2 linked regions of the Nothobranchius furzeri genome follow. The protein of the gene in region 1 binds, or shares a complex with, the protein of each later gene. Links are inferred from orthologs where the notes say so. Each region holds a gene or a part of one and is shown on either strand. Other genes may lie near its edges.

The links.
Region 2: rgs9b (region 1) and regulator of G-protein signaling 9-binding protein share a complex: the UniProt entries of both Homo sapiens proteins name them as parts of the RGS9-1-Gbeta5 complex. The link is inferred for Nothobranchius furzeri from reciprocal best matches to the Homo sapiens genes RGS9 and RGS9BP.

Annotation. Positions count from the first base shown.
Region 1 is NC_091756.1:45,187,568-45,191,708, forward strand, and holds the start of rgs9b (regulator of G-protein signaling 9), read left to right. Parts: upstream 1-1,341; 5' UTR 1,342-1,788; coding exon 1,789-1,857; intron 1,858-4,141. Other genes in the region: guanine nucleotide-binding protein subunit alpha-13, read right to left, coding at 621-903. UniProt on the Homo sapiens protein: Inhibits signal transduction by increasing the GTPase activity of G protein alpha subunits thereby driving them into their inactive GDP-bound form. Binds to GNAT1. Involved in phototransduction; key element in the recovery phase of visual transduction.
Region 2 is NC_091749.1:55,570,829-55,573,691, forward strand, and holds regulator of G-protein signaling 9-binding protein, read right to left. Parts: upstream 1,448-2,863; 5' UTR 1,312-1,447; coding exon 571-1,311; 3' UTR 501-570; downstream 1-500. UniProt on the Homo sapiens protein: Regulator of G protein-coupled receptor (GPCR) signaling in phototransduction. Participates in the recovery phase of visual transduction via its interaction with RGS9-1 isoform.

The DNA of each region.
Region 1 (4,141 bases):
CTTGCCTTGGGAAAAAAGAACTTTAGTTTATCTTTCAAGTGGTAAAGGTAATATTGAGTTAATTTAAGTGATTTAATAAAATGGAATCATTAGCTTTAGCATTACAAATGTGGCAACACGAACCTTTAAAATCAATACTGTTTAAATGGTAAAACAATGCCTTCATTCCATGTAAAAGCTGTCAAAGGTTAAAAAAACACGCTGCATTATGGAAGTTTAAGGTCATGTTTAATGGAAACTAACATTGTGGAGTAAATTGACTTTCCGCTGGTGTTTTTTAACCAGCGGACAAACAGGAACACCTAGCTTAAACCACGGCAACCCTCCGTTGAGCAACTAAACGTGCCTCTTTAGAAAGTACAAACTCTACGGTTATGATAAAGCTGGTTATTAAATCATAGCAGGGTAATAAACAGAGAGAAGGGCATGTTGGAGCTGAAACCTGGCTGAGTAGGGTGTGCCGAGAGCAGATGTGGACTGTTTATGGGTGTCTTCTCAGCAGCTAAACGCAGATGTGGAAACGTTTCCATCCGTTTAAACGCCTTTCTGCGGCTTTTAGGTCCAGAACAAGTGGTTTATTCCACCCGTTATAAAGTAAACTTGGTCAGAAGTGAGGTTACCTTTAATAACGTTGCTGTAAATCGTTGATCTGAAGTCTTCTCGGGCTTTCGCGTCGAAGTCATCGCCGTGGATGATCCGCATTTGTTTAAGGAAAGTCGACTTGCCGCTCTCGCCAGCGCCCAGCAGAAGGATTTTAACCAAGCGTTTCACATGCGTCTTCTCCCGGTTCAGACCTTTGTCGATCTCTTTAGACTTTCGTATCTGGTCCGCCTCTGCGTTGCTGAGCACACAGAAGGGTAGACAAACTTTTAACACAGACCTGGTCGGCAGGAAATCCGCCATGTTCGCTCAAACTTCATCGATGCTAATCTCATGCGCGTTCGCGTTGCGCGGGCACGGGACCAAGCCCCTTTTCCTAAACTCAGGAAGTAGCGTCCGCGGAACCGATAAAGGCAGTTTACCGATTTACCACCAAAGAACACTCGCGCCTCTGAGACTGTCCATGTGCAATTAACGTAAAGGTTATATATATATATATATATATATATATATATATATATATATACTCTATGAAACATTTAATATAAAGTGCAAGTGTCTCAAAACACGAGTTAAGTTTGAATAAATCCGAATCTACACACGACACAACAGCACCCCCTGCTGGTTGAAAATAAGACTGCTCAACACGCTTTCCCTCTTAGAGGAAAGCAACTCTCTGATTGGTTGTTTTATTTGTCCCTTGTAGATGTGATGCCTTCAAAAGTATAGGACATGGGAAAACTTCCAATTTTTACTTCGACGCTCCACAAAATAACAACAGGTGAAAACGAAAACAATAAATCCACTCATCGCATATATATGGTTCAAAATGTTTTCATATTTCTTGGTATTTTAAATGTTTAATCACTGAACGGATGTTTAAACAGAATAACAACAATCTTTTAGCATAGAACATAATTCCTACTGATTTGCTGTTGTTTTGTTTAACTAATCCAAATAAAAAGTTCTAACTTGAAGTTCAATATAACGTGAACTTGAAATCGAAAATATGTATGAATACATGTTTCTAAAAAATCCAATCTCCCGAACAAATGATGTGTTGAGACATTTGAACGCATCATCAGCATTGATCATATCGATTCCCCTCAAGCATCCTCACACGACACAGAGCTCACAGGCAACAGCAGCGTTATATTTAAATCTGTGAGTGTATAAAAAACAAACAGTATGACCATTAGAAACGCTCTCCGGGATCATGGACAGAGGTACCGACCTCGGATGGCTTGTCTCAAAAAGGTAGGCTCTCTGTTTTCATATAAACAAGACATAAATCCCAGCTCTGCCCAGGCTGGTAGAGTGTACTTGCAGACACCTAAACAGAAATCATGTGAATTCTCAATCTTGATGGTCTCAGGTGACCTCATAAATAGTTGTTTACAATATAAAACGTTCAGATTCTTCAGGTCCTGTAAGAATTCAGATTGTTATGCTTTTATTTCTTTTAATAAGACGCCAAATTCTGCAGGTGATAAATGAGTAACTGAATGCTTAAAACCATCATGAAATAAAAATGTAGTGCATTTGTTTGGATTACCTGTAAAATAATGTATACATGTAATAAAATGTCAAGATTAAATGTTAAATATCGTGGTAATTTAACTGTACCCTTTATTAAACTGGCCCACCTTAAACAAATTATTTTAACCTTTTCACAGTGCTAAGGTCATTCTGTTTAATAAGCATTAAGTATGGATCAGTATAAGAGCTCCTATATTGAGCAACAGCTTCTTGAAAGAAGTTAATCCAGATGAGGTGGTGAATACAACAGTCTGGTCTTGTAGTTTGGATGTAGACCCATTCATCATCTCACGTTTAAAAACATTCAAGAGCTGACACAGTCAGAAAGAATAAATGCTGAAAAACGTGATTAGCATTAAATCTGATTTATTTAGTGAATGGAAGGTGCAGACTAGAGCACAGAGTGAACACACTCTCCAGGGGAATGTGTCGAGATATGAGGAGAACTTTGAGTTCTGGTTCATGGAAGCTCACTTTGGACCTGCTCCGCAGAGGGCTTAGCCTCTCCAGGATCGACTTCAAAGCACAAAGCCACTTCAAACAGACCTGAGAGTCAGACGAACACTCACTTTCTCTTTTTCCTCTCTCACTTGCACACACGCTCACACACACTTTTACTCCAACTGCATCAAGTCTCTACATGATTTATTTTTTTCTGAGTTATTTGAGTTATATGGGAGCTGTGGGATCCAATATAACGGAAACAGTGTTTAGAAAGAAGGTGAGTCACTGCAAAACACCCACGCAATCCAAAGAAACGCAGAAGAGATCAGGGCATGTTTTCTCAACTCTTCAACAATGTTTTTGGGTTTAACATTGAATGGTCATGTTAGGAGAGTTCTTTAATCTCAATAACTGAATCATCTCACACTTTCTAATCTAATATCACGACAGTGCTCTATAAAATTACACTTTTAAAATCAGTAGCAATTTTATGTAGCTCTTGAGGTGTTTTATCAAGTTAACGATGCTGTGGATGCTTGACAATGTTAATAACTATCAATATATTGTTATTAAAATCTTCACATGTGAAAGAGTTTGGCAAAACATATCTAGTGTACATCTCAGTTAAAATTCCCAAAATTCACAAACACAATGTAATAATAAAAAGAACTGTTATTGAAATTATTTAGTCGTATTCGTTGCAAGCATTCTGTTCTGATGTTATGCTTTCAAAATGATGGAACCCTCCACCTCTTCTGAAGGACAGGCTATTGCTTTAAAAAGTCAGCTCAAGCAATGAGGGCAGAATGAAGGCAAAACAAACCGGTGGTGTATGTAAAGCAAAAACAGACCTCTGTTCAGTTTATTTTTTAAGTATGGCGCTCACACATGTTTTGGTGCAATGTGCAGGGATATTCACGGATATTCATTTTCTGAGCACTGACACTCCTAAGACACATCTGTACTTAAGCCTGATTTATGCTTCTCCGTCTCCGTCAGTGCGGAGACACGCAACGCCATTATCCGTCCTTGCGTAGGGCTCCGGCAGGCCCGCAAGTACGTACGGAGTCAAGCCCACTTTTTTAAACATCCGTCGAACGAGACGGATTACGCAAGCTTGTCATTGGTCAGGACACCGCTGTTGTTTACAGCGCCGCCATTGCAAAGAGAGCCGAGGATAACTAGCAGCAGACACGGAGAAGCTTGAAGAATACCTCGCGAAAAAACTCTAAAAATATGAACTTTTAATTCTCCCGTGACTGGAGGAGTGAAAAGATGCGCAGCAAGCGTTTTATTTGTGGACGGAAATGACAGGAAACGTGGGTTTAGAGGTGGGGAGCGCATGAAGCGGTGGGAGAACGAGAGACAAATATGTCCGTGTTAAAAGTCTCTTATATACACAAAAACACAATATAAACACACGATCTTGGACCGATACATGACAGGATACCACAGAACAGCGCTACGCCCTCTGTTGTCCTGCCGGACAATTGCTTTGCAACACTCTCCAGGAGACGGAGAAGTAAAAGAGCAAAACACTTCCATCAATCCGTGCATG
Region 2 (2,863 bases), on another chromosome or scaffold:
GCTGTGTTAAAACAGGTCCAAAGAGCCTCGTGCAGCACACGAGAACCTCAGATTAGAGGGTCCCGGTGTGCCAGCCGGGTTACTGATGATTAGAAATGTGTTAAATCGTGCAGATTTGATCATTTACATCCGTGATGATGAGGGGTAAGCCCTAGCACGTTTGACTGATTGGATTCGTACATCTAAAGCATCAGTCAGCTGAACGGGGATACCGCATGGCTAGATTTACACTTGGTCTTTTTTTTTTTACCTCCACACCTAATCCACACGGATTAGGTGTTCGGATCATCAAGGTGATAGCCAGACACTGTGAGATCATTTTAGCACTTTTTATGTATCCTCCCAAAAATAAAGTAACGACCTATTCCTCCCATCAAAAGCACCTTTTTAGGATCTATGTCCACCAGTCACTATAGTAGACTATCATCAAGTGCAATATTCCTGAACCCAGCAGAATACATTCAGAATTGGGATTGTCTAACTTTGACAACATCTTCCTCCTAGACATCTCCTCTCCGGTAGTGAGCTCCCTGCTCTGCTGTTTGTCCATCCGGGCTGCTCAGATACACTTCACGACATGTTGATAACTAAATATCCTAAAACCAAAGCCACCCCGACGATAACAAAGAACACCACCACGGCTCCGATGGACGCGGATCTCCCCTCCCTGGCGCCTCCGCTTTCATCATCCTTGGGCTCCTCCTCGCAGATGGAGATGACGCCAACGGAGGAATTTCCCACGCTCATGTTGGACTTGAGCTCGGCTCCTGCTTCCTGCTTGGCCACGACTGCCCACGGTGCCACCTGCACTTTCATCTCCATCTCCTCCACCATCTGGGTCACCTGCGTGATCTCGGTCTGCAGGTCCCGGAGGTCCGCCGTATCGATGTTACTGTCGGCCTCGTACTTCATGTTCTGGACGCTCATGGCCCGGGCTGCCACCGCGTTGGTGCTACCTGTCATCCCCGTCTGAATGAAGTGCCTCGTGGGCACCTTGATGGGGAATTCCTGCCCTATCTCCAGGGAGCGCTTCATATCCACCTCCAGGAGCTCCATGCTGCTGGAGAACAGCACCCACAGGCGCTCGTACTCGGCGCGGTCCTCCTTGCTGATGCTCTTGTCTTTGAGCAAGGAGGTCAGCTTAGTCCTGTTGGCCACGGCCAGCTCCTGGGCTTTTTTACGGGTCTTCTTCAGCTCTTCTCGCAGGTTCTGGGAATCCGATGTGCTTCCTAAAGCGATGACCAAGTGCCTGTAGCAGGCTGTGACTTTGTTTAAAGCGTCCAGCATGGTTTTGCACTCCTCTTTCCCCATGTTTGAGTTAAAAATATTGTATCCTATTAAAAAAGGTGGAAAAATAATCAAAAAGAGGTGGGAATTCGTGGAAAAGCGGTGAAATGTTTCAATTTAGTTTCCACAAAAGCGCGCTGGACGCGCTGAACCTACTCCAGCCAAAGAAAACGCATCTCTATCCATGCTCCCACCTGTGTGAAGGCAGCCACCAGAGAGCGGCTTAGAAATTAATGCTTCCGTCACCTAAATGGCTTTAGGTTACATTTAAGCTTCCCCGACACGAGATCAAACCTCCCGGGGCCGGTCCCTCTTCAGGACGGACACAATCCCACCTCCAGCGCTCCAGATCTAGCTACAGGTGCCCCACCATCCACCCGCCTTCTAATTGCGCCGCTCTCTCTTTCTCTCTCTCTCTTTGTCCGTCTAAAATGACTCCATTGTTTTAAAAAAAATGACGCGCAGCTGGATGAAACTGGTTCTTCCCTCAGTAAAAGGAGAGAAGAGTCCCAAAGCGGCTGAAAGAGGACGCCAAACGAGCCATGGTGCTTCGGTTCGGTGCTGTTTATCTGCGCGGGGAGCTGTCCACTTCAGCACCCAGAGAGCGCCTTCAGTGGTCACATGTGCGCACAAAACCAGAGCCATTCAGGGACGGGCGCAGAGATAGAGGCAGGCAGGCAAACAAAGCAGCTGCGCAGTCATTGGTCTGATCTGCTTCAGATGCCTCCTATCATTGGCTGATTCCTCCCTGGAGTGGGAGAGCTGGGATGTCCATCAGCAGGGATCTCCTTCTATCCTCAACTATTTGTCTTTTTAGTCATACAAGATTCAGATGAGCTCCGAGGAGATCAAAAAATAGCCCAGTCTGTGATGAAACAGACCCAGCCCTCACTTTAGGTGATTAGCTTTAAACAGTTTGATGAAAGTCGATGATTTGGGGAATTGTGGCACCTGCCTGCACACACCGTTAAGCCATATGAGGATGCCAGTTGTCGCACGCATTATTGGCCACTGTGCTGTTGAGTTGGCTCCTGCTGTGCTGAGAGCTGGTGTGGTGTGTTTGCCTGGTTTGCTCTTTTTGCATTATTGAAGCGGGTGGAGCCTAATGATCCAGTGCTGCAGCTTAAAGCTAATGGACTCAAGCAGCAACTGGTTTCTGGAAAATGTTTGTTATTATTATCTCTTTTTTATGCACATATTGGGTTAATTGCATGTTCACGTGGCTGTGACGTTTGCTGCATAATATCTTACAGGGTTATTTTTTGCAAGAATAGGAAGCCATTAAATCCTGCTCTTTACTGCTGAAAGCTAAACGTGACTGATTTCTTGTAACACGATTGCTGAGATGTTGGATTCGAGTGTTGGGAATGAGTCAGACCCACCTTGGGCTCTCAGAGTTAACTCATCGAAAATTCAATTTGTGAATTTCCTGAGCAGATGCCCTTTGTGGTTTTCTGGTTCTCAGACAGGTAACAGAGATTCATCAGGTTAGACACACATTTACACCCTGTGTAGACTAAAAACAAATGATTAATAAGGAACATCTCACTTTGATTTGATTATGTTGTTTTCTTGC